Linked DNA regions of Oryctolagus cuniculus. The protein of the gene in region 2 interacts with the protein of the main gene of each other region in a pairwise test. Links are inferred from orthologs where the notes say so. Each region holds a gene or a part of one and is shown on either strand. Other genes may lie near its edges.

The links.
Region 1: the proteins of HTT (region 2) and EVL interact in binary tests that used the Homo sapiens proteins (3 or more experiments, as listed by UniProt). The link is inferred for Oryctolagus cuniculus from reciprocal best matches to the Homo sapiens genes HTT and EVL.
Region 3: the proteins of HTT (region 2) and DNALI1 interact in binary tests that used the Homo sapiens proteins (3 or more experiments, as listed by UniProt). The link is inferred for Oryctolagus cuniculus from reciprocal best matches to the Homo sapiens genes HTT and DNALI1.
Region 4: the proteins of HTT (region 2) and GOLPH3L interact in binary tests that used the Homo sapiens proteins (3 or more experiments, as listed by UniProt). The link is inferred for Oryctolagus cuniculus from reciprocal best matches to the Homo sapiens genes HTT and GOLPH3L.
Region 5: the proteins of HTT (region 2) and TXNDC11 interact in binary tests that used the Homo sapiens proteins (3 or more experiments, as listed by UniProt). The link is inferred for Oryctolagus cuniculus from reciprocal best matches to the Homo sapiens genes HTT and TXNDC11.
Region 6: the proteins of HTT (region 2) and PFN2 interact in binary tests that used the Homo sapiens proteins (3 or more experiments, as listed by UniProt). The link is inferred for Oryctolagus cuniculus from reciprocal best matches to the Homo sapiens genes HTT and PFN2.
Region 7: the proteins of HTT (region 2) and PKM interact in binary tests that used the Homo sapiens proteins (3 or more experiments, as listed by UniProt). The link is inferred for Oryctolagus cuniculus from reciprocal best matches to the Homo sapiens genes HTT and PKM.

The regions. Positions count from the first base shown.
Region 1 is NC_091451.1:43,850,586-43,854,085, forward strand, and holds part of EVL (ena/VASP-like protein), read left to right. Parts: intron 1-1,746; coding exon 1,747-1,807; intron 1,808-3,247; coding exon 3,248-3,314; intron 3,315-3,398; coding exon 3,399-3,461; intron 3,462-3,500. UniProt on the Homo sapiens protein: Ena/VASP proteins are actin-associated proteins involved in a range of processes dependent on cytoskeleton remodeling and cell polarity such as axon guidance and lamellipodial and filopodial dynamics in migrating cells.
Region 2 is NC_091433.1:1,886,590-1,890,089, forward strand, and holds part of HTT (huntingtin), read left to right. Parts: intron 1-1,124; coding exon 1,125-1,280; intron 1,281-3,500.
Region 3 is NC_091438.1:135,210,829-135,214,831, forward strand, and holds the start of DNALI1 (axonemal dynein light intermediate polypeptide 1), read right to left. Parts: upstream 2,801-4,003; 5' UTR 2,757-2,800; coding exon 2,643-2,756; intron 2,257-2,642; coding exon 2,111-2,256; intron 340-2,110; coding exon 170-339; intron 1-169. Other genes in the region: SNIP1 (smad nuclear-interacting protein 1), read left to right, coding at 3,563-3,786. UniProt on the Homo sapiens protein: Involved in sperm flagellum assembly.
Region 4 is NC_091438.1:47,346,147-47,350,284, forward strand, and holds the start of GOLPH3L (Golgi phosphoprotein 3-like), read left to right. Parts: upstream 1-1,338; coding exon 1,339-1,521; intron 1,522-4,138. UniProt on the Homo sapiens protein: Phosphatidylinositol-4-phosphate-binding protein that may antagonize the action of GOLPH3 which is required for the process of vesicle budding at the Golgi and anterograde transport to the plasma membrane.
Region 5 is NC_091450.1:25,052,147-25,054,840, forward strand, and holds the end of TXNDC11 (thioredoxin domain-containing protein 11), read left to right. Parts: intron 1-1,456; coding exon 1,457-2,081; 3' UTR 2,082-2,194; downstream 2,195-2,694. UniProt on the Homo sapiens protein: May act as a redox regulator involved in DUOX proteins folding. The interaction with DUOX1 and DUOX2 suggest that it belongs to a multiprotein complex constituting the thyroid H(2)O(2) generating system.
Region 6 is NC_091435.1:131,456,337-131,460,598, forward strand, and holds the start of PFN2 (profilin-2), read left to right. Parts: upstream 1-1,462; 5' UTR 1,463-1,850; coding exon 1,851-1,982; exon of another isoform or gene 1,983-2,091; intron 2,092-4,061; coding exon 4,062-4,254; intron 4,255-4,262. UniProt on the Homo sapiens protein: Binds to actin and affects the structure of the cytoskeleton. At high concentrations, profilin prevents the polymerization of actin, whereas it enhances it at low concentrations. By binding to PIP2, it inhibits the formation of IP3 and DG.
Region 7 is NC_091443.1:110,889,947-110,893,446, reverse strand, and holds part of PKM (pyruvate kinase PKM), read right to left. Parts: intron 1,049-3,500; coding exon 917-1,048; intron 547-916; coding exon 360-546; intron 1-359. UniProt on the Homo sapiens protein: Catalyzes the final rate-limiting step of glycolysis by mediating the transfer of a phosphoryl group from phosphoenolpyruvate (PEP) to ADP, generating ATP.

The DNA.
Region 1 (3,500 bases), on a different chromosome or scaffold from region 2:
AAGACCCTAGCGTGCTGATGGACACACCACACACATGCTTGGGTGGGGCCTGTTCCCAGCAGGGCTCCTGTGGGAGCAAGCGTGGCCCTGGCCTCCCACAGGATTGCCGTGTTAGCACTGAGCCCAGGGTCCTGGGTCTGCAGGCGGCCGCACCTGGACCACATGAGGGACAAGGGCAGTGCAGCCCACGAGTCCCCTGCGTGGTCCCCGGAGGTTGCCTGGCTCTGCATAGCAGTTATTGCTGCTACGTCATAAGTCCATTTTCTTGACCATGAGACGTCTCCCCAGAATGTGTGTGGTATGTGATGGCCATAAGCGGTCCCCGCTGTTGGTGAGCATTGCTGCAGGCTCACCGCACCACAGGGCGGACGCATGACTTCCAGCCTCCGTGGCCTCGCGTGCCGTGGGGTGGGCAGCCAGAGTCCATGGGACACAGGAGCCTCTGCCCTTGGGGGAACTCACAGCGCCCTGGGGAGGCAGACAGTTAACAAAGAACGTGACAAGGGCAGAGAGCAGCAGCACCAGCGCCATGCAGTCCCAGGGAGCAGCCTCTCCCACGGCCCTAAGGCCCCGTGGCCACTGGTATCTGCCAGAAGCTCTGTAGGAGGAGCTGGAGTGGGCAGGGCTGGGACAGGAGCAAGTGCAAGACCTGCTGGGCGCAGAAGGGCAGGGAGCTGGCGAGGGGCGGAGGCCCCCAGGGCCCTGCCTGTCCCCAGCAGGCCACCTCCGCAGGCAGTAGGGCTGAGAGGTCAGAGCTAGGTCTCAGGCTCCCGTTGTGGCCACAGTGCTGGTGAGCATGGAGTGAGCTGGGAGAGGCAGGCGTTTGGGACAGATGCCTTGGTGAAACAAGTAGGGGTGCACCTGAGGTCCTCCCCAAGCACGTCCCTAGGACGTCCCTGTGCCTGCTGCTGCCAGGTCTCTGCAGCCAGACCCCTGGTCCTTGAGCAACAGCCCGCCCCTTAGCCCAGGAGTGGGCCACGCCCCAGGAGGGAGAGGCTGCCACTCAGACTTCAGTGGCCAGGACTGAAGCTGCTCCCGAGCGGCACACGTGCAGGAGTGGATCGCTCCACATGGTGCCGGCGAGAGGTCAGCAGGACACGCGTGTGAAGCATCTGGCCCCCAGGTGACCCGGCCTGGGCAGTGCAATTGAGGGTCCAGGAGGAGCCCCAGGCTGCTCTCCCCGGGGTGGCGTGGGCGCCCCGTGAAGTCACGGTTTTCCTTTTTTTTTTTTTTTTTTTTTTTTTTTTTTTTTTTTTTTTTTTGACAGGCAGAGTGGACAGTGAGAGAGAGAGACAGAGAGAAAGGTCTTCCTTTTGCCGTTGGTTCACCCTCCAATGGCCGCCGCGGCCGGCGCGCTGCGGCCGGCGCACCGCGCTGATCCGATGGCAGGAGCCAGGAGCCAGGTGCTTTTCCTGGTCTCCCATGGGGTGCAGGGCCCAAGCACCTGGGCCATCCTCCACTGCACTCCCTGGCCACAGCAGAGGGCTGGCCTGGAAGAGGGGCAACCGGGACAGAATCCGGCGCCCCGACCGGGACTAGAACCCGGTGTGCCGGCGCCGCTAGGCGGAGGATTAGCCTAGTGAGCCGCGGCGCCGGCCGGTTTTCCTTTTTTAATAATATTCTTTACTGACTCTAAGAGCGCTACACGTCCACTGCGAATGTTTGGGAAACTGAGGCTTCTAACTGAGCTTGCGCCCAGCGGGCTCTGGGGCAGACTAATGGGAGAGCCCGACTTTTCCTCTGCAGGAAGATCCTAACACCTCGCCTTCTCCGGGGACACGGGCAGCCAGCCAGCCTCCTAACTCAGGTAAGGGGCGCCCAGCAGAGCCCCGCCCACACGAGGCCCTGGAGTGGGAGGAAGAGGACAAGCTGGCCCCACCCCTTCCCTGTGTGCGAGCAGAGGGAAGCCAGTTCCTGTGGGTCCCCACAGGCACCGCCTGACCACGACGATGTCCCGTCTGAGCAAACCAGTGTTCACTTCCTGGGGACCTTGCGTCCCACCAGAGGGAGGGTGCTGGCCCTGACAGCTCAGATCCAGGGGCGCGAGGCTGCGTCTAGGGCTCGGAGGAGTGTTTACATGTCAGGGTCCATGTCCCCTGCCAAATGCCAGCCAGGTGATTGGCGCTACCGATCCCGCTTGCTCTGCCAGAAGCAGCCCCAACCCTGCTCTTGTCACCCCCATGAGCTGCACCGCAGGAGACGGAATTGGGGAGGGAGAAGAGGCTTCCTGTGGGAAGACCCAGGGCTGGCTGTTCAGTCATCCAGCAAACCCTTGCTCGGCATCTGGCCTGTGCCAGGCCGGGGCAGCTCTGCCAGCTGCTCACCCCACCTGTCCCTGCGCCCGCAGTGGCTCATCCCACTCCTCCAAGAAGGCACACCCTAGCCGTCTCCTTATGGGACTTGCCTGGGGGCCGATTTGCCGAGAGCCACTGGTTCTTGGCCAGTGACCAGAAGCAACGTCCGTGTCTTTATTTGCACAGCAGAGCAGCCCAGAGTGGAGGCCCCGTGGTCGAGCAGGTTGCCCAGGGCCACGGACCTGGGCTGTGGTGTGGACGCAGGGCTCGGGGCTCTGGCTGCAGCTACCATTCAGGCTTCTGCCTCTGCTCATCCTGCAGTCAGTGAATTCAACAGATCTCTGGCAGCAGTGCCAGCACTGTGGCGCAGCAGGTTAAGCCATTTTTCCCCAGGCCGGCATCCCATCACAGCGCCACATCGAGTTCTGGCTCCTCCAGCTCCAATCCAGCCCCTGCTCGTGAGTCCTGGGCAGCAGTGGGAGACGGCTGGGCCCCCGCCACCCACAGGGGAGACGTGGAAGGAGTTCTGGGTTCCCGGCCTCAGCCCCTCAGCCTGGCCCAGCCCCAGCTTTTGAGGGCATCTGGGTAGTGAACCAGTAGATAGAAGATCTGCGTGTGGGCATCTGTCCCTCTTTCCCTGCCACTTTCAAATAAATCCATACAACTCTAAAAAGAAAATGGAAGCTAAGCCAGCTTTGCCGCCAGGACAGGAAAGCGGAGATGCAGTGTGTGGGCAGCCTGGGGGCGTCAGGTGACAGCAGCGCGAATGGGGCTGCAGGGCCCGGCCAGCCCTGGGCAGCTGTCAGGGGACCCCAATTCCTGGACACACTAGTGCCCGGCACAGGGGACACAGGGGCTGCCCCGGCTGCAGCGGCCCTGAGGCCAAGGAGCCAGGTCTCGGCGGCCGCCGGGTCCCCCCGGCCCTGAGGTTCTCCATCACCCGTGATTGACAGAGCCTGGCCGGAAGCCCTGGGAGCGGAGCAACTCGGTGGAGAAGCCTGTGTCCTCCCTCCTGTCCAGGTGAGCGGCCCGGGAGGCCGAGTGGCGCGGCCCGGGGGCCTCGCAGGCGCGCCGGTTCACGTGTCTTTCGTTCCGTTGCCGTAGAAGCCCGTCCTTGGCCAAGAGCCCTGAAGCTAAGAGCCCCCTTCAGTCGCAGCCTCACTCTAGGTACCGGACACCCCTCCCGCCACGCGCCCCCAGGTGCCG
Region 2 (3,500 bases):
CATGATTGAGTTCTGATTTTAGGTGTAATGTTAGGAGTAGAACCTTAGAGAAGGGGCCAGCATTGTGGCATAGCAGATAAGCTGCTGGCGTCCCTATGATGCTGGTTCATGTCCCAGCTGCTCCAGTTCTGATCCAGCTCCCTGCTGATGGCCTGGGGAAAGCAATGGAACATGGCCCTAATACTTGGACTCCTGCCACCCACGTGGGAGACCTGCAAGAAGCCTCTGGCTCCTGGCTTTGGCCTGGCCCAGCCCCAGTCATTGTGGCCATCTGGGGAATGAACCAGCGGATGGAAGATCTTTTTCTCCCTCTCTCTGTCTCTTCTGTATGTTAACTCTGACTTCCAAATAATAAATAAATCTTTAAAAAAAAAAAATAGAGAAAGAGGGTGTTGGAAGCTCACCTGAAAAAAACCACACTTACTTCTCAACAAGTAGTTGTCCGCCTGACTCCTCCTGTGTGGTGGTGAGGTCCTATCCTTGGGAGCCATCACAGAAGTAGCCCTTTCACTGTTCCCATGTGGGCGCTGGCTGTGCCAGGGCTGCCCTCTGGGGCAGGCGTGGGTGCCAGTGACGGGGTTTTCTTCATGTTCTGTGTTTAGGTTTTGTTTTTAGAGTGTCTGGGTTGAAGTCCCAGAACTCCACTTTTTTTTTTTTTTAACTTACTTGACAGGTAGAGTTAGATAGTGAGAGAGAGACAGAGAGAAAGGTCTTCCTTCCGCTGGTTCACCCCACAAATGGCCACTATGGCTGGCGCTGTGCCATCCAAAACCAGGAGCCAGGTGCTTCTTCCTGGTCATCCATGCCGGTGCAGGGCCCAAGCACTTGGGCCATCCTCCACTGCCCTCCCGGGCCACAGCAGAGCGCTGACTAGAAGAGGAGCAGCCAGGACTAGAACCCAGTGCCCATATGGGATGCCCGTGCTGCAGACAGAAGATTAACCAAGTGAGCCACGGCGCCGGCCCCCGTGTTAGGTTTTTAGGTTCTCGGTTGGGGTTCCTGTGCATTCCCGCACCTCACCTGTGAGCGTTCGAAGGTAGCCTGTCGTCGCTGGCGCGTCGGGCCGCACCGCCTGCCTTTCTGATTGCGTAGTCTTCCCTTCCTCCCCGACACTCCCCCTCCAGCTTCTTGTGGTCTCAGACCTGTTCACTGAACGCAACCAGTTTGAGATGATGTATGCGACGCTGACCGAGCTGCGGAGGGTGCACCCTTCGGAAGACGAGATTCTCATCCAGTACCTGGTGCCTGCCACCTGCAAGGCAGCTGCTGTCCTCGGCATGGTGAGTGGCACGCCCTGCTGCCGGTTCCCCGGCTAGTCTTCAGCTCAGAGCATCCAGTTCTGCTGCTGCCGTTCCACACTCCTCACAGAGATGGTCCCTGCAGCCGCACGACGGCCTCTCCACGGTCTGCCGGTGGCCCAGTGCACGCCCAGTCCCTCTGTGCCGCTTGCGTTTGCCACAGCGGCCTGCATTCCTGCTCCCAGGTCTGGGCACTGTGACGTGTTGTTGGCGCCAGGGCCAACTGGGTGTTGAGCTGCTGGGGCAAAGCCTCTTGGCCTGGATGGCTCACAGCCAGCCCGTGAGCACGACACGAGCAGGTTCTGTGCACAGTGAGGGGCGCTGCTTGCCGTGTCCCTGGGGTGGCATGAGCCCACCCGCGGAGTGCTGTCACACTGGGAGTTGGTTTTCAGCCTGCGAGTTGGGGGCGGGAGGTGGGGCACAAGCATTCGGGCCCTAGCAAGGGTCAGATGGTGTCTTCCGGTTCCTCCTTACTCTGCCTTGAGCTCATCGGTGCTTACGGCACCAGATCCTGTGCCTGTGTCACCATGGGAAGGCTGCCAGCCACACACGTCAGCTATACGCACCACTAACCATGAGTGCCGTCAGTCCTTACAACACTGTAAGGCACTCGTGTTCTGTGGCCACTTCAGTACTGTGTGTGTCAGCATTTAGGCCTCTGGTGGGGGCTTGAGGGTACCTGGCTACCCCGTGTTCCACGCGTTTTCCTCTGTGTGACAGCAGGAACATTGCCGCTCCTGCTATGCCCGCACCCCTGGCCTCGTCTACATCTGAAAGGCAGCCTGAGAAAGCAGAGGTCGGAGGTTAGCTGACTTGTGCCAGGTCGCACAGGATGGGGGCTCGCCCTGTTGCCCACTGCTCCCTCCTGGGGTCTGTCCCGGCAGAGCCTGGGTGCTGGAGCAGGTAGGGTGTCGTGGGTGGCCTTCAGCCTGCTGCCGTGCCAGTGACTCAGAGCCACGCAGGGAGCAGAGACAATGGGTGTGGGTCTCCTGGTGTGAACATGTTCTTCAAAGTCAGTGCCTCTGGGTGCTGCCTGAATGATGGCAAAGCAGCTCCCTGGAAGGGGCCTTTTTTCTCTGTGGGGAGTTCCAGTGGCTGGCTTAACTTTTCATTGTCACTGTGTTTTGTGCTAGACCCAGAGCCCCCAGGCAAATGTAAATCAAATAAATGAAATAAGAAATAACAATTTTCTAGAGAGATCCTGAGGCAGAAAGGCGCCTGGACCCTGCTTCTGAGTTCTGTGCACACAGCTTTTCCCTGGAAGATGGCCATCTTCTGTGAGGGTCTGCAGCGTGCCGTCCTCAGCCCCGGCAGGGACACCCGCGTGGTGGCAGCGGGCCGTGTTTTCAGCAGTGGGGCTGAGGAGTCGGGCAGGCCCAGCCCAGGGGTGAAGCAGGGAGCGTCTCCTTCTGCCTGAGGCTTGGGACGCAGAATTCCCACAGAAAGCTGGATGGCCACGGCCTCTCGTCAAGACAAGGTGTCAGCCAGCAGCAGCCACTCTGCGTGGAAACGGTGTGGAGAACCTGGTGTTGCAGCACGCCCACCACTGCCTGCGACTGTTACAGAGCACAGTGCCGCGTGGGTCTCGGTGTGTACAGGACCCGTTGTACTAGGACTCACAGGACTGAGCGAAATGGACCAAGGCAGCATCGAGTGCTGTCGAGAGTCCCCAAGATGACTCCATATTTTTGTTAGAAGGGATCACAGCTTAAATTCATTATAGGAAGGGGTTCAGAGCAGAGTCAGCAAAGAGAAAAGGCACAGGGCCAAAGTTCCAAGGAGACCGGCCGAGCTCCCAGAATCCTCTCCCAGTGGACTCTCCCAGCTCATGCTCAGTCCCCCAGCGAGACGTTCTGACAACACACAGGACATGCAGTCAGCCAGGGGAGCCCGGCAGGGACTCCGTGTGCGGGGTCTTCATGGGGGGCTGGTCGTGTGGGCACGCTCGGCCGGGCTCGTTCTAAACCTCAGACTCCCAGGACAGCAGGTGCAGCATGAGCCCCCTTGTCTGCACAGGCAGCCGAGGCCCGTGTGGGCAGTGGGCACCCTCCCAGAGCCAGCGAAGGGCTAACCTGGTGCGCAGGCCTCTCTCAGACAGCCAGGGGCTAACCTTGTGTGCAGGCTTCTCAGACAGCGAGGGGCTAACCTGGTGCACAGGCCTCTCTCAGACAGCGAGGGGCTAACCTGGTGCACAGGCCTCTC
Region 3 (4,003 bases), on a different chromosome or scaffold from region 2:
CCAGGTTGTCAAGAGCAGAGCTAGGTGGGGGACTAGGGAGAGGCGGAGCTGGGAGTAGACCGTGCACTTGGCAGTTTCTGGGTGGGCCGGGCTGGGGGAGAAGAGATGATTCTGTTGGGGTGGGCTTCTGTGTGGGGGTGCAGTGCCCACCTCCCCCAGGCCCACTCACCAAAACACTGCGAGTAGAGCTCCCTGCGGACCGGGCAGATGCCGGTCTCCCTGGCCTGCCGCTGCTGCAGCTTCAGGTCCAGCTGCTCCTGCAGGTGCACCACGTCCATCCTGGTGCTGGGGGTGCTGGACACCTGCTGGATCCATAGCTGCGTGTCTTCTACCCACTCCCTGTGGCAGAGAAACAGCCAGGCTGAGCCAGACACACACCGACCTGAGCAGGGACTCCGAGCCCTTGGAGTTCTCTGCCTAAGCAAGAGTGAGGGGCAGCTCTGTCAGCTACCCATCAGGGTCCTCCAGGCCTCTCTCACCAACCCCACCATGCTGCCTCCATAGGCACTCTACTCTGGGTCTAGAGTAGGTGGGTGATCTCTGTGAAATCACCCATGCTCCAGCTCCCCCCCACCCCCTTCTTTTTTGACAGGCAGAGTGGACAGTGAGAGAGAGAGAGACAGAGAGAGGCAGAGAGAAAGGTCTTCCTTGTCCGTTGGTTCACCCTCCAAAGGCTGCTGCGGCCGGTGCACCGCGCTGATCCAAAGGCAGGAGCCAGGTGCTTCTTCCTGGTCTCCCATGCAGGTGCAGGGGCCCAAGGGCTTGGGCCATCCTCCACTGCCTTCCCAGGCCACAGCAGAGAGCTGGACTGGAAGAGGAGCAACCGGGACTAGAACCCGGTGCCCATATGGGATGCCAGCACTGCAGGCAGAGGATTAACCAAGTGAGCCCGTGCAGAGGTTCTTTAAGGTATGTGCCTGCATGGGCTTCCCGCAGTGAACTCTGCGATCCAGGCTCAGACCAATTCAGGAACCACAGTGAGGGGGTTTGGAGACAGAACCACCACAAGGGAGGGTGTTTCTATGCCATGGGGGAGGGAGAGAAGCAACCGAAAAGCCACCCTGCTCCTTTGACCTCCATCTTGGAGCTCAGAGTTTCCCCTTTCCTCATCGCCTTGCAAACTGTTCTGTGTGTTATTGCATAAGACATTAAAAGGGTGTGTCTGTGCTCAGTGTGGCTGCGGGAGAAAAAGGCCAGGGAAAGGGGTCGAGCTGGGCAGAGGTCTCAAGGAAGGCCTCCTGGGGGGAAACGTCATTGGAGCAAGGACCTAGCAGAAACACGCAGGGAATCACCCCAGGGAACCACCGGGGCCGGGGTGAGGGCGGATCGCAAGGGATCTGCGTGACTGGCAGTGAGGACAGCAACTGTCCAGGCCCTGAGTGGGGGCGGGGAGGACCGAGGTGTTTCAGAAACCCTTTGCCTTCACGAGAAGGAGGATTACAGGTGATAGGATTTGGGACTACAGCCCGGGCCAGATCATGCTTCAGGCTTCCGTGTGAGTGGCAAGGGACACCAGTTTCTGGCAGAGGAGTGGCACAGTCTGACTCGTGACTTAGAGGCTGCGTGGAGAACAGGCTGTTGGAGCAGGAGTAAGTGGGGTTTCCAGATAAGAGGCCAACGCTGAAGCGCAGGGGACGAACAGCGCCCGGGAAAGAGGTGGTGCAGGCAGAAGCGGAGAAAGTGGTTGGAAGGTGGGGCCAGAATCGTTTGCTGAAGGATACAGGACACAAAGACCAAAAGGAACAAAAAGTGGCCTGAGTTTCCCAGCAGAAAGGAGAAGATCGGGATGAGCGGTCGGGCGAGTGCGAAGCTGTGAGTGAGTGTGGACACACTGAGTGTGGGATGTCCACTGGACACCTTCACAGAGCTACTGAGGAAGTCCTGGAGTTTAGGAGAGAGGACAGGGCGGGAAATACACCTTTCAAAGATGGCATCCCCGGCCCTGAGGTTGGGTGGGAGCACTCAGGAAATGAGATGCGGTCTCCTGCCACCCTCTGGACTCGGCTCCAGGCCAGCAAGGGAGGAAACCCTGGCCAGGCACGGGGGCCGAACGCCTCTCCCCACACTACCAAAGTCTGGTCTTCTCCCAGCCTCTGCGCCCACGCTTTACCTTGGGGGCAGAATGGCATTCAAAATTTCTTCTGCCTGCTTTGTAGGATCTGGGACACAGGAAGTTGAGGGGAGCTTGGTCTTGGTTATCTGTGGGATTGGACTGGAGGGTCCCGGCTGCTGGGGGCTGGCTTTCAGTGGCCGAGCCTGGGAAGAGACGATTCAGGCCTTCAGCCCCCTGGACGCCTCCGGGTCTTGCGCACCCCCTCCCCTACCCCCAGCCCGTGAAGAGTCCCTGGTCCCAACGCAATGCGCGGACCAGTGTTTCTGGAGGAAGCGGTCAGGCGTCTGCGCTCCCACCTGTAGCGGTGGGGACATCGCGACCTGACCTGTCCTTGAACCCGACTACCGGGAGAGGAATCCCTACCGTCTGTCTCCCCGCGACCAGGTCTAACCTGCGGCGCTCACACCCAGCGACATCTGGACCACCCGGACCACTCGCTCCCTCTCCGCCCGTCCCAGGGCCCGTCCCCGGACTCCGGACTCTCGCCGCGGGGATCTGCCTGGCCCGGTCCCCCGAGGCCCGTCCTCACTTTGGGGCTCCGTTTCTCCGTGTTCCGGCTCACCAACACCGGGGTGTCGTACTTGAGCAGAGAGTCGGCCGGGGGGATCATGGCGGCGATGGGGGCCTGGTTTGCGGTCACCATGGAAACCGCCCCCCCTCCCGGCCGGGGCGGGGCCTCGGGTGGGCGTGGCGCGGCGCGCGGACGCGTCCCGCGCAGCCCTGGCGCTCGGCCCCGGCACTCGGCGTCTTAATCTTGCTGCCAGCCGGGTCGCCCGGGAGACGGGGGTTCGAGTCCCTGCGCTGCGTATAGCGCGCAACTTGCGTGATTGGGTAGATCCCCCTTCGCTGAGCCCCAAGATTGTCACCTCAGTGAAGGGCTGGAGACCATTCCCCAAAAGAGGGTCTCTGGAATCCCCAGGGCTTTAAAAAGTATTCCTCAAGGTTAAATGGCGAACTGACATAGCAGGATTTGTCCACGGGCTACTATGATTGCATTTTTGTATTTCCAAGGCCAAATGGAATCACGGTTGGCGCGCAGTTTCGTCGCCTTCCTCTACCGTGTCGGTCCGGGCTTTTTCCACAAAGCGGTATATGGTTCGTGATAACGTTACTAATAGCTACGTAATGCCCAGTGATTGGCTAAGGAGCCCCCTACAGCTGTACACTGAGGTTGCCCACATGCTCTGTAGTTACGCGGTGAAGAATTAACTTGAGAGGTTCGCTTTTCCCCAGTAGTTTGCTTTCCAAACTTAAAACTCCCGCCCTTCGGGCCGGCTCCCTGCAGCCCCGCCCACGGGGGGGGCGCCGTCACATGTTCAGCGCTCCGCCGCGAGGGTTGCTGGGAGAGCTCACACCCCGGAAGCGGAAGTCCAGAGGTCAAGCTCGTCATTTCCTTCGGAGAGAGTGGCTCAACGGACCTCTTTTCTTTTGCCCGACCCGAGTCGCAGAATGAAAGAGGTGAAGAGCGAGCGGGAGCGGAGGAGCCGGCGGAGGCACCGGGAGGGGGACGTGGCGGCGGCGGCGGCGGCGGTGGTGGTGAAGCAGGAGCGCCTCAGCCCGGAAGCCGAGCCGCCCGCCCCCCGCCGGCCGGACCTCGGCGCTACTCCGTCCCCGCCGGCCGGCGAGCCGGGCCGCCCTGGCCACCGCGGGAGCAGAGCCCGGGGAGAGAGCCGGTAAGCAGAGAACAGCCGGGGTGGACCTTGGGTCGGACTCATTGAGAAAAGAGCACAGGGCCGGCATCAGAAGTGGGTTCTGAATGCCGAGCCCAGCAGCGGGAGGCGGTGGGAGTGGCCGGGTCGCGCTCGGGTAAAGGCGTGTGTGCTCCGGTGCTGGTTACTTGCGTGACAGCTGGGGTCGAGCTGATGCCTGTGGGTCAGGGCCTCGCCCCCT
Region 4 (4,138 bases), on a different chromosome or scaffold from region 2:
ATATCAGGTAAGCAATGGCTAAATTTCATTTCCCAACGTCCAAAAAAAAAAAAAACACCTCAAATTATTTATTTTATTTTATGGGGAGAGGGAGGTTTTAGATATTTGGGACCATTTGGTTTGTTTTTCTAGATTTCATTTTTAACTAGTAAATGCCCAGGGTAAATAAGTTTCTCAAAGGAGATTCTCCTTTATTGTTTTCCCAGAGGGTTTAAAGTTTTTTGGATTGAGTTAAGAAATAGCCCCTATTCACAGTGCCAGGTAAAGGTAGTGCCCTTAAACATTTATTTCATGGTTCTCTTCCTCCTTCACTCTTCTTCCTGCCTCCCACCAAAAATATTTGAAATATACGCTTTTACAACCTGCCTTGTAAGTCACTTCACTTGTATTTTTGTTTTCAACGTCCACATGCATTGTGAGTATTCGTTTTAATCAATATATATTTATTGAGCAATTGTAATGTTAAAGATGTGCTAGTTGCTATGGAGGATATAAAACCCCAAGAAGACAATATTCCTGCCCTCAAGAAGTTTACAGTTGAGAGAACCATACTAAAAGACAGACTATAATAAATGTTTTAAGGAAGTAAGTATAAATAAAGTTCTACAAAAGTACAGGTGAAGGAGAGATGAATTCTGGCCATGGGACATATGGGTAAAGATTCACTTAAAGTTTCAGTGAGTCTTCAGTGGGCCTTTGAAGAATGGGTAGAATTTAGAGAGGAAGGGAAAAGGGAGAGAAGCACAGCAAAGACAAAGGAACAAAGGCAGAAAGAAAGCACAGGACAGACGTATTTGATGAAAGTATTTACAGGGAGTGTAATAGGAAATATTGCCGGGAGGTAGAACTGGTTCCAATCTTAGTGGCTGTTAAATATTGTCCTTTTGTTCTCAAAAAATATTTTCTTTATATAATTTCAGCTTAAAAATCTTTGTTGTATAGCATCTTAAAAATGAGCATCTAGATTTGTATAAAATGTAATAACTTTATCACAGATTATTTAATGCAGTTTCTTTTGACAAGATTTCTTAAACTGGTGCTTGGTGTAAAAGGCATGTGTGTTGATTTTTTTTTTTTTGATTGAGAAAGAATTGTTACAGTTTGATACTGTCTTTCTGGTTCTATTTGTTAGCAACTGTGTACACAAAGTCTGCAAGATGGCTAGCTAAAGCTAGGGATCTGAGTCTACTGACTGGAATTACTGCATGTGATTTTCTGAGTGTTGTTCTCTAGACAGGTGATCTCCAAATTGAGTGCATGATACTAGTTATTAGTCATTACATAAGCACACACATACGGATTTTAATTTTATGCCACTCCCTCCAGAAACAGGTGAGAATGACCACTTTAACTCACCGGGCTCGTCGCACTGAAGTAAGCAAGAACTTTGAAAAGAAGGTAGAAAGTGAGGAAGACTGTAATCAAGAGAGGAATCCAGACACTGAAGACCCTGGAGACTCCAAGGATATACGCCTCACCCTTATGGAAGAAGTATTGCTCCTGGGACTAAAAGATAAAGAGGTAATGCTATTAGGTTTGCTAGGCTATCTCAAAAGACTACAATATTAGAATGGGTTATCAAGTAATCTGATGAAATCTTTTTGTCAGTGGTTAAGTTGGCCTTAGAATTGTGAACCAGCCATCTGGGAGAGGAATTTGGCAGGGTGGATGATACTTGGAAATTAAAATCCTGAAGTGGAATGATATGAAGTGTAATTAAATTTTGTTTGTTGATTTGAAGGCTAGAGAAAGGGAGAGACAGAGATCTCTTGTCTAGTGGTTCACTACCCAAATGCCTGTAACAGCCAAGGCTGGGCCAAGCTGAAGCCAGGAGCCCAGAATTCACTCTGGATCTCTCACATGAGTGCCAGGGACCCAAGTATTGAGCCATCGCCTGCTGTGATCCAAAGTGTGCATAATACCAGGAAGCTGGAATTGAAAGTGGAGTCACGGCTGAAACCCAGGGATACGGGATGCCACTTCACCAAATGCCCATCCTTGAAGTATAGTTTAATTTCAAAGTTACTCCAAAATTTTAGAAGATACAGAAGAGGATAATACACTATGTAGTTTTATACTTGTAGCTTCCCAAAACAATTTGATAGTGAAATAATAATCACATTTAAATAAGAAATAGGGCCCACATGTTGAAGTCTTTTTGAGCTTTGGAGAGAAAAAGTCTTAAATGAAAAGATAAGTAATAAGTGTGATTAGCTATCTTACAGAAATAAATGATGGATAGATTTTTTTGTAGTGTAGTATAACAGTAGTAATTTTTTAATTCTCTTCTCGAAGATCTTTAAAAGATAAATGAGAATTATTTTAATTTTAGAAAAAATTATAAATAGCTTCAGCGTAACTTTTTTTCTAAATTTTTCTGTATTAATAGAATTATGTGGTTTAAAGTAGAATTGGTCTTGAGGTAGTATGTTCTGGCATATAGCCAAATATCTCTGGTTTTTCTACTAATACTGTACACTATCTTTCGCTTGTTATCTAACTTTTTACTATGTTTTCCCATCTCTCTCTTTGCTCATAAAGAGGTTATGAAGGCATTTAGATGTAATATTTTAAACATATAGATGTGGCCGGCGCCACAGCCCACTAGGCTAATCCTCCACCGGCGGTGCAGGCACCTGGGGTTCTAGTCCCGGTTGGAGTGCCAGCTTCTGTCCCGGTTGCCCCTCTTCTAGGCCAGCTCTCTGCTGTGGCCCGGGAGTGCAGTGGAGGATGGCCCAAGTGCTTGGGCCCTGCACCTGCATGGGAGATCAGGAGGAAGCACCTGGCTCCTGGCTTCAGATCGGCGCAGCACACCAGCTGTAGCAGCCACTTGGCGGGGTGAACCAACGGAAAAGGGAAGACCTTTCTCTCTGTCTCTCTGTCACTGTCTATCTCTGCTTGTCAAAAAAAAAAAAAAAAAAAAAAAAAAAACCACACACACATAGATGTAATATTTTAAACAATATGCTTTCTTTCCAAGGAAGTCTTTTTTTTTTTTTTTGACAGGCAGAGTGGACAGTGAGAGAGAAAGAGAGAAAGGTCTTCCTTTGCCGTTGGTTCACCCTCCAATGGCCGCCGCGGCCGGCATGCTGCAGCCGGCGCACCGCGCTGATCCGATGGCAGGAGCCAGGAGCCAGGTGCTTTTCCTGGTCTCCCATGGGGTGCAGGGCCCAAGCACCTGGGCCATCCTCCACTGCACTCCCTGGCCACAGCAGAGGGCTGGCCTGGAAGAGGCGCAACCAGGACAGAATCCGGCGCCCTGACCGGGACTAGAACCCAGTGTGCCGGCGCCACTAGGCGGAGGATTAGCCTAGTGAGCTGCGGCGCCGGCTCCAAGGAAGTCTTAAGTAAACAGAGGAATATTTATTATTAGCCCTCAGTTTGGAAAACTTAGACAATTAAAATGTTAGTTTATATAGGAAAATACTGTATTTGGTTTCCATAATTGTGCTAAGCTAAAAATGAATTGGCTGTTTATACCTCTAGTACCATCTCTTCCTTTCTACATTGATTCCTCAGCTTTGCATTTTGTTTTTCCTTCTCAGTTTTTTGTCATGTCAGATTACCAGCCTGAATAGAACTTAGAACTGTTATAGTCTCTGTATTGTTAATATTAGGAACACGTTCATATGCACTTGACCAAAACACAGTATATGAAAGTGTTTCCATCCATGCATATGAAGAGTACTCAAAAAGTTCATGAAAATGCATTTTTGAAGCAATTCAGGATTTCAAAATTTTTTTGTAACAAAACATCTTTTAATTTCTTTTTTCCTTGAACTCTCTGAAGTACTCTTATATTAGAAAATTTCGCCTAGAAGTTATTTTCCTCTTTGCTAAGAAAGTTGATAAGGCTCCAATTTTATAAAGAGCAAGTAAATGAAAAGGCAAAACCAACTCTGCAAAAGAATGTTAGAGTACCACTGAAGATTAGGTGGTATAAATACTGTTTTGAGATGTTTATACAATGCATAGGAAACATTCCCTGACTGTAGAATATTTTAGAACTAAAAGCTACTTGATTTTAGTTTTAAATAGCTAGTTTTGATTAATTTCCTTATGACCTGATGCTAGACACTAGGAATTTTGCTTCTTTGATGTAGAAGAATTGCCCTTGTATTTGTCTTTCTATATTTAT
Region 5 (2,694 bases), on a different chromosome or scaffold from region 2:
TGCTGCCTCCCAGGGTGCACATTAACAGGAAGCCAGAGTCAGGAGCCGGAACTGGGAGTTGAACCCACGCACTTTGATGTGGGATGTAGGCACCCTCACCGGTGTCTTAATTGCTAGGCTAAGTGCCAGCCCCCAGCAGTGGGACTTTTTAACGCCACACTTTCAAAATGACTCCTCTTCTGGAAAGTTGGTTGCGACTGTGTTCTTGCAACTTAGAAACGGTGGAGTGCCTTCTAGCGTGCCCACTGGAGACTCACTCCGCACTGTTCTCGTCCTGTCCACGTCTCCATTCAGGTCTCCCACGCTTGGGCCATCATCCACTGCCTCCCCAGGCAGGAGTAGGGTGCTGGATTCAAACTGGTGCTCTTATGTGGGATGCTGGCGTCGCGGGTGGCGGCTTAACCCGCTGCGCACACACCAGCCCCGGCTTAACCCGCTGCGCACACACCAGCCCCGGCTTAACCCGCTGCGCACAACGCCAGCCCCCAAAACCTGACTTTTACTTCTTTGTGATTTGGTCGGAAAAGGGCTACTCAGGACTGGAACCTCTTCGGTGGGTTTTGGGTGTCTGGCCTCTGGCTTTGTGTGTGCAGAGGGAGTTGAGCTGGTAACTAGTGGCTTCCCAAGAACAGTGGAGTTCTGGAAAAGCACTCCCTTCAGCAGGAGGTCCCCATTTACGGGCCGGGACTCCTGGCCTGCGGAGAAGCACTGGGGGCAGTGGCAGGTGGCAGGAGGCACAGAGGTGTTCTTCCTGACCTGTGCTTCCGTGGTCCTGGCTGGCTCACACGTGCACACTGGCCCAGCTCACACAGAAACACACACCAGTGGCCAGATGCTGCCCGCACCCATACGTACATCTGTGAGACGCACTGGCTGACAGACGACTGAACGACCAGTTCTAAAAGGACTTGGAACAAGTCTGGGGTGGGGGGCCCTCGGACGCCACCTTGCTGCGTCCCCAGGGCAGCAGCCTTAACTCCGCAGAGCGCCTTGGTTGGGCTGCGGCCAGATCACGCTGCCCAGGGCCCCACAGTGTGAGTAAATGCTTACTAACGACGGGCAGTGTGTCGGGTTTTTTTTCTTTTCGCCCTGCACTGTCTATGGTCATGAGTGTCGTGGACAAGTCTTGCCCCAGGACACCCTTCCTGACATGGCCATGGGGCCTCCCAGGGCATAGAGGGTCCTGCTCACACAATGCTGGTGTCCGTAGGCCTGGGAGCCCCTCTCTCCCGAAATGCTGTGTCCAGAAGCAGCTCCGTCCTTAGGGAAGTAGGAGCCACCGTGGTCGCAGGACACGCGCAGGGCCTTGTCCGCAGCTCGGTGGGGCAGTTCTCTGCCAAGGCAGCATCTTCCTTTTCGTGGTCATCAGCGGATGGCCCGACTCCTGGGAGAGCTGAGGTCGGGGCAGGGTGTGTCGGCAGACTCTGACCTCTGACTCCTCCCCCTGTCTCCCCAGGAAGGACCTCAGCGTGAAATACCCCGAAGACCTCCCCATCACCCTTCCAAATCTGCTGAGGTTCATCTTGCACCACTCGGCCCCCGCTTCCTCCAGCCAGGACGTGGCCAGCCCTCCTACCAAGGACTGTGTCCAGAGCGAGGCAGCACTGCAACAGGGGCACATCTCCCAGCTGCAGAGAGAGATCCAGAAACTGAGGGCGGAAATCGGCAGCCTGCAGCGGGCGCAGGTGCAGGTGGAGGTGCAGCTGTCGCGCGCCCGCCGGGACGAGCACAGGCTGCAGCGGGAGCAGCAGGCCCTGGAGCAGCAGCACCGCCTGCTCCGGCGGCACAGCCAGCAGCTGCAGGCCCTGCACGAGCAGAAGAGCCGCGAGCTGGCCGCGCTGGCCCGGCAGCTCCAGGAGCTGGCCGACGCCTCGGAGACGCTGCTGGCTGAGAACGCGTGGCTCAAGATCCTGGTGGCCACCATGGAGAGGAAGCTGGAGGGCCAGGACGGGGCGGAGGACACGGCTGCCCTGCCACAGGAAGGCCCTGACCCTCCCCAGCCCGCAGGCGCCCCCCTGCCACCTCCCAACGTCAGCTCCACGCTGGCGTCCGAGAGGAGTAACGAGAACAGGACAGAGTAACTTTTTTAAATGACATGAAGAAATCAGAGGTGAAAACTGAACATTGGGAATATATTTATGCAAATTTCACTGAAATTTATTGTAAATAAAGATTTTCTCAGTGGTCTGCAAAATCAGACTGAATGCCGTTTAGCTTGTTCCACAGGGGCGACGTCCCTCCCAGACCACAGACGCGGTCGCGCTGAGACAGCAGTGGCGCGGTGCCCTGCGAGGTCTGTCTGAAGACCAGTCCGTGCAGCGGCTGTCGGCTCTCGCCCCACCCCCACCCCTGCCTCTGTGAGGGAGGAGAGGAAGCATGACAGGTTAACTTCTTGACAAGTCAAAACTCGAACGCAACAGCTGGGCTGTGCGAGAATTCAGAGGTCGTGACGCGAGTGTGGCTCTGGTGTCTGTTAAAGTAGCTGTTGATAACACAAACAATGCACACTGCAGCTGGCCCACAGCCCTCCCACCAGGGCCCTGGCTCGCCTGATCCACACCCAGCGCCGCCACCACGCTCCCGGGAGCCCCATGCAAGTGCCAGGATGTTCCCGGCAACCAGGGAGGGCGCTAAGAAACCTCCACAGTGAGACTGATGACAAAGCGGCCTTTAATCATTCCAGAATCGGATTTA
Region 6 (4,262 bases), on a different chromosome or scaffold from region 2:
TACTTCTTAACGTTTCCATCACTTTTTTTGTTTATGTTTAAACTTCCTGCATTATAACACATGTAAGGACACGCCCCAATCATCTACATACAGTTTGGTGGATTCTCAAGAGTAGTACGTCCACCCTCCCAGCGCGCTTCTTGTTAGTTCTCAAGGTGACAACGCTAAGACTGAAGGATTAAAACCGCCAACCACCACCACCAAAACACAGGCATACTCAACGAGGAGTAAGTGTAACTAAATCAGGTGGGAGGTACAGAGGCACAAATGGAACAACTTTTGGCTCAGGTTTTGTACCACACAGGTATTGTCTGTCGACCTGACAGGTCCCTAACTTGCAGGGCTAGGTGGGTCTCCTACGGTCGTTTTTTCCCTGAACATTTCAGAGCAAACAGCAAAAAAACCATGAAACCTCAGGACCAATTAGCTCGTGTAGCAACACTGACTCCCATCTTTGCCATTCCACAAACTTTGACCTTACACCGTAGGTGTCACGTTGGACGCCTGATGTTCAAGGTCCTGGCGCCTTTTTCTTTCCCTTAACTGGCGGAGTGCTTGTGTTAACCAAAAACTGAAGTTCCCGATGTGGGACATTCCCAATTCCGTGTATAGTCATAGAGGTTACTACAGACACGAGAAGGTCCGCTGGTCTCCAACCAAAGTCCACCCAGTACGAGCCTTTCCCAGCTCTGGGTCCCGACTTTTTCATCCTCAGAGAGCAGAGGTGTTCTGTTCAATCCTTTGTATTTTCAGCTGTTTCTTCGCCCCATTGGTAACTTCCCCATTCGCTAACAAACAGGTTACACCGTTCTTATTCGTTTTGTTCGGAATTTACGAGCCTTTCAGCCCCACAAGCGACTAACAGCCCTAAGCGGGCTGTTCCCCGCAGAGAATCCACAGAATCCCAGGCCCCTGGTACCCAGACGAGGCAACAATGAAAGATCTGCAGAGCTCAGCAACATTCCTGAGAGCCCGGGCGCCCGCTCTGATTGCAGGAGCGCGCCCGCTGGGCTAACCTTGGTGGCCGAGAGGTGAGCGGGCTCCAGAGGAGAGGGGCCCGCGGAGCTCGCCTCACAGGGGGCGTGGGCGACCCTGCCAGCCGCCGCCTGCAGCGAGCGCTCCGCATCCCGTCTCCCGGGCAACTCCGCAACCCGACACCGAGGCTCAAAAACCCGCATCCCGGGCCGCCGGGCGCCGGAGCGCCGCGCAACGCCGCTCGGCCGCGGGGACTCCGAGAGGTCCCTCGCCCCGCCGCCGCTGCCCCGGGGTGCCCGCTGCGTCGCGGGAGAAGCCCCCGCTGCGGACCCCCGAGCCTGGGCACCGCGGCCAGCAGCTCCCCGGCCGGCCGGCCGCCGCCGCCGCCGCACGTGGCGGCCGTGATTGTCCCGGAGCGGTATCCCTCCGCGCCCCCGCCCCAGCCTCCCCCCTTCTCTCCTCCTCCCGCGCCTGCCCGGGACCCTCCGTGTCGGGGCGCCGCGGAAGGATCGCACGCACACGCACGCGCGCGCACGTCCCGCCGCGGCCGCGGAGAGCTGAGGGAGCCGCGGTGAGGAGCGGCAGCCGCCACAGCCGCCGCCACAGCAGCTCCGCAGCCTCCCGCCGCCGGCTCGTGGGCCCCGCGGCTGCGGCCGGGTCGGCGCGCCCCGCGGCTCGTCCCTCCCCGCCGTCCCCGCGTCCTCCCTCCGCAGCTCCTCGGGGAGGGGGGCGGTCGGTGCCTGCGCAGAGCCGCCTCCTCCCCGCCCCCGCCCCGCCTCCCCCCGCGCCCGCCGCCGCCCGCGCCCGCCGCCGCCGCCGCCGCCGCTGCGCCTGCTGCTGCTCGCCGTCCCCGCTGCAGTGCGAAGGGCTCGAAGATGGCCGGGTGGCAGAGCTACGTGGATAACCTGATGTGCGATGGCTGCTGCCAGGAGGCCGCCATTGTCGGCTACTGCGACGCCAAATACGTCTGGGCAGCCACGGCTGGGGGCGTCTTCCAGAGCATTACGGTGAGGACCGGCGGCGGCCGGGACCCCGGTGCCCGCACCCGAGCCGGGGCTGGCCGGCCTGGGGTGGACGCCGCAGCGAGGGGCCGGGACTGGAGGGCCGAGCCGGCAGGTGTGCGGGGCGGCGGGCGCGGAGGATGCGGCAAGTGGCCGGCGCGGGAGGCGGAGGCCCGGGGCCGCCCCCTTGTCTGGGGCTGCGCTGACCAGCGGGGGCGGCGGCCGCCTGGGCACCCGTGTGGGGGGAGGGGTCGCGCTCCGCCGGGGTGGGCCGGAGGGGGCTTTCCCCTCTCTTCTCGGTGCGTTTTCTCTAGGTCCCTTGCAAGCCCTGAGCTGTGCTTCGCTCATCCTAGGGTGGGAAGCGGGGGTCGGGCCCCGGCGGGGGTGCACCGGGGGCCCGGGCCGCCCGCCCGCTCGCCGCCCGCGCCGGGGGCTGTGGGAGGCGGCGGTGGCGGCGGCGGCCGCCCGGCCCCCGGGATTCTCGAAGCGACTTTGCGTAGGTTTGCCGCTGTCTGGGCCTCTGGGGCTTGCGAGAAATGGACGCGGACCACGTAGGTGGATTCGTGAATCTCGACTTCAGCACTGGCTCTATAGGTTTTTTTTTTTTTTTAATTCTCCAAGATGGCGAACTGCCATTGATTTCTCTCCGCCGCCTATGGAGATTCATCGATACACCGTTATCCCCCGTTACGCAACATAGCTCTAAAAAGGGAGTGCTTTTAATGGGCTCTCAGTAATCTGAAGAGCGAGGGGCCCCTGGACTTTTCCAAGTCCCTCCCTCTTCAGTGATGCAGATTTATGCCTCACGCTGCCTGCTTTTCTCCTGACTGATCCTTTTGACTTGGTTGCCACATGTTCCGGAAATATTTGAAACTGAGCCTAGAGCACTGCTTATTGTTTCGCCTGTGTCTCCCCAAGGCTCCCTCTGAAATTGTGACAGTTGTATCAAATGCGAGCTCATTTCCTTAATCTCTCAGCCTCCAGCTCTCTTCCCATCAGATACCAAAATTCCGCTCCCCTATTAGGAGTATTAATTAGTCCTTGGCTACTTAACACGGTTTGAGGTCTAACTGTAGAAGTGGGGTCTTCATTTTAGCACTGGAAGGTCTTCGGTACCCGCAGTGGAGTACATTTCTTAGGGAGAATTGGCATCTGATGATCAACTTTTTTTTTTCCCCTGCAGTCCTCTTGTCTTTGTGTGTGAGTTCCCGCTGTCTGGCTGGGAAGATTGCTGGAGTGTGCTTAGAAATGGCTGGGGCCTGCTATGACTCTGCAGTTCTGATGGGGGCGACGCCTTCCTTCTTATTCATGGAATGTTAGGATGCACGCTTTCTCCTTTCCGGTTCTGCTGGCTACCTCAGTTTCTTGCCCAAGCTCCCTCCATTTTCTCTGTTCTTTTACCGGTGCCAGCTGCAGTGCTGTAGACAGAACCCGCTTTGCATTTGCCCAGAAAGAAAACTGATTACTGAGATGGGAGGGGAAGGGAAGTTAGGAGGAAAAAAAAAAAGTAGTGGCTAGAAAAACAGGAGGGAAATACGAATTTGGAAATGCACTGGTGTGTAGGGGTTGACGCTCAGAGGGATATTGGCAGCTCTTCCCAGCAGGGACGTGAACTGATCTGCCAAGCACTGCCTTTATTTTGGGAGACTTTCAGGCAACTTTAAATTTGATGTGACATGACTGCGATGTGACTAAATATGATAGACAAGCTGTTGAGGAAAGAGTTTTTAGCCGAGTCTTTACCATGACATAAACACCTTCAGGCACCACCTGACTCGATACGGTTTATAAATAACTCTCAGGTTTGTAGTTTGTCTAGTGTCAACAGCCGGACACTTGGAGAGATTCTTTGTACAGACTGACCGCACTGGGAACTGTGCAAGCAGATGAGCTGGTAGAAAGCGTGTAGTCCATGGGACTGGGTAATCTTGCGGAAGAGACAACTCTTGATTCCGCGTTAGTGCCACGTGGCCCTCTCGTAGTGCTAGTGTGAACTGAGCACAGTCTGACCCTTTACGTGGAGACTTGAACGGATTTAACTACAACTTAATGGGTTTTTTTCCTTTTTCTTTTCTTTTGGGGCAGCCAGGAGAAATAGATATGATTGTAGGAAAAGACCGAGAAGGTTTCTTTACCAACGGCTTGACTCTTGGCGCAAAGAAGTGCTCAGTGATCAGAGATAGTCTATATGTCGATGGGGACTGCACAATGGACATCCGGACAAAGAGTCAAGGTGGGGAGCCAACGTACAACGTTGCTGTGGGCAGAGCTGGCAGAGGTAAGCGA
Region 7 (3,500 bases), on a different chromosome or scaffold from region 2:
GCCACTTGGGACGCCTACATCCCATAGTGGAGCGCCTCGTTCAGCTGCTGATCCGGCTCCCTGCTGACACAGCTGGAGGCACAGCTGATGGCCCATCCACGAAGGAGACCTGGCTCCTGCCTTTGGTCCTGGATGCCGTGGGCACCCGGGGAGTGAACTAGCAGACAGAAAATCTGTCTTCCCCTTTCTGTCAATCTACCTCTCAAATAAACAGAGCTCACCATACCACCATCTCTCCGCCAGACAACCAAGCTTCCTACCTCCCTACCTTCCACGAGCCCCGCAAGTCGGGAGGCCGGAGGAGCTCTCTGCCTTTGCTGTCCTGAGGCCGGGGTGCTGCTCAGGCTGGCGATACGCACCTTTCTGCTTCACCTGCAGGGAGATGAGGCCGTCGTCCACGTAGACCTTGCTGCCCACGTCCACCACCTTGCAAATGTTCTTGTAGTCCAGCCACAGGATGTTCTCGTCGCACTTCTCCATGTAGGCGTTGTCCAGCGTGATCTTGAGCGTGGCTCCCTTCTTCAGCTCCACCTCCGCCGTGCCGCTCTGGACAGGAGAGTGAGCGAGAGTCCAGCTGGCAGCCAGCGCCCCCGCCTCCCTAGCACAATGTCTGAATCTCAGAGGAATCACAAAGCTTGGCCCTTGGTGAACAGATGCCCTTCTCTAACTTAGCACATCCGAGGAAACAGCCAAAGACAAAGGCCAACACGTTCTGTTGCGTTACTTAAAGACGGCCAAGACACACAAAGAAACTGCTTCTCAAAGCCAGAAGTCAGTTTTTAGACTAAAAAAAAAAAAGATCCTTTTGTGGTACCATGGAATCCACATTTACACTTGACCTGAATTCTAAAACATGGCAGCACCCAGCAAACACCACAGACACGCCCTGGGCTCCCCGTGTCCCAAGGATACTCACGCCCTTGATGAGCCCCGTTCGGATCTCGGGTCCCTTAGTGTCCAGAGCCACCGCGACGGGCCGGTAGAGGATGGGGTCTGAGGCAAAGCTTTCCGTGGCTGTGCGCACGTTCTTGATGGTCTCCGCATGGTACTGGGGGAGGGAGAAGAGGACAAGTGTCCTCCCACGCTCGGGCCAGCTGGCATCCCTGGGGCTGGGAGCCAAAGCTGCATCGCCCACCTCGGCCGCCGTCCGCCCGAGCACCCGCAGCCTCTCCGCACCTCCACCACGGCACGCACTCAGCAGAGGCCACTGCCGCCCAGAACCACACAAGCAGCAGCACCTTCGGGCTGTGCTCTTTCCCCTAAGACAACTAACAGGGCAAGACGACTGGGGCAGAAGAACCAGGGCAGGTGTGGGTGAGACCGCCGGGCAATCAGCGCAGAGCCTGACAGAGGTGGCCAGGGCGAGGGCCCTCTCCCACGGATTCCAACCACAGTTCCAACACCAGGTTGTGGACTTCACGTGAAAGCTCAGGTAGGTCACGAGAGCTGGCTGCACCCTCCCTTCCCAGGGTGTGGCCTGAGAGGAGAGGAGCAGGCCAAGGTGCTCTCAGGCCCCTCTCCGCACCAACTGCCCTGGCAGCACATCCTGGCTCCCGTCTCTCTCCAAAGCCCTTTCTTCCTCACTTGCCAGTACTGTTCAATCAAAAAGGCAGTCAAAGCCGAGATAAGATGTCAAAAGGGCTCCCAGATAGGGTAATCAATACGGCACTGCTGATAACAGGGCACCTTGCTCAGCACTTCATGGGCTTGGCCTTTAACCACCACTGTCTGGGCAACAGCAGCTGCCAGCAGGCCTGGGACGCTGGAAGGTACCAGGAGCCAGAGCCGTCTCCAGGGACGACACTGCCCAAAGCTGTCTGACCACCGTGAGCTTCTAACTCAGGCACTCTCTGCAAGGAGCGACCACTGGCTCCACTTTCTATTCTGCAGAGGTTCTACATTCTTCGTATTGCTGGTTTGCAATAGAAATCATTTACTTATAATTAATTTATTTTCACTTTTTATTTCAAAGGCAGAGAGAGAGATTATCTTGCAGCTGCTGGGTTCACTCCCCAAATGCCTGCAATTGTCAGGAGCCTACAACTCCATCCAGGTCTCCCGCATGGGTCGCCTCCCAGGATATGCACTAACAATAAACAGTTGGAAGCAGAGAAGCTGGGACTTGAACAATGCACTTAGATATGAGATGTGGACATTCCAAGGAGCAACTTAACCTCTGAACCAGACACCCAGTCTGGAGATAGTTCTGGTGTGGTTTTTTTTTTTTTTTTTTTTTTTTTTTTGTAAAAAAGGAACGGATTGGCCGGCGCCACAGCTCACTAGGCTAATCCTCTGCCTGTGGCACCGGCACCCTGAGTTCTAGTCCCGGTTGGGGCGCCGAGTTCTAGTCCTGGTTGCTCCTCTTCCTGTCCAGCTCTCTGCTGTGGCCCAGGAGGGCAGTGGAGGATGGCCCAAGTTCTTGGGCCCTGTACCCGCATGGGAGACCAGGAGAAGCACCTGGCTCCTGGCTTCAGATTGGTGCAGCACGCCAGCCACAGCAGCCAATTTGGAGGTGAACCAATGGAAAAGAAAGACCTTTCTCTGTCTCTCTCTCTAACTCTGCCGGTAAAGAAAGAAAGAGAGAGAGGCAGGGAGGGAGGGAGGGGTGCTGAATATTACCAAATACCTTTTGTTCTGAGGACTAAAATAACATGAAACTCAGAAGAGTCAAGCACACAGGAATTATTTAATAACTCTATGTTCCCACAATAAAATTTACTTGGCCACCAGTCAAGAAATTCCTTTAACAGAGGAGAGGGAGTGGGAGATCTTTCATCATTGGTTCACTCCCCAAGTGGCTCCAATGGCTAGGGCTGGTCCAGGCTGAAGCCAGGAACCTCACTCTATCCTGGGTCTCTATGTGGGTGACCAGGACCCAAGTACTGAGGCCATTACTCCCAGGCACACCAGCAGGAAACTGGATCAGAAGTGGGGCCAGGGGCTGGTGCTGCGGTGCAGTGGGTTAAATTTCTGGCCTGCAGTGTTAGAATCCCCTATGGGCACTGGTTCGAGTCCCAGCTGCTCTACTTCAGATCCAGCTCTCTGCTGGTGCATCTGGGAAAGCAGTGAAGATGGCCCAAGTGCTTGGGCCCCTGCACCCACATGGGAGACCCGGAAGCTCCTGGCTCCCAGCTTGGGATCAGCTCAGCTCCAGCCACTGTGGCCATCTGGAGAGTGAACCAGCAGATGAAAGACTCCTCTCTTCTTCTGCCTCTACCTCTCTCTGTAACTCTTTCAAACAAATAAAATAAATCTTTAAAAATAAATAAAGAAAAAAGTAGAGCCAGTGAGACCCAAACCAGTGCTCTGATATGAGGTGTCTGGGTCCCAGTGGAGGCTTAAGCCTCTGCGCCACAATTCCCTCCCCATCCTCGTATTCTTTTTTTTTTTTTTTTTTGACAGGCAGAGCGGACAGTGAGAGAGAGAGAGAGAAAGGTCTTCCTTTGCCGTTGGTTCACCCTCCAATGGCCGCCGCGGCCGATGCGCTGTGGCCAGCGCAC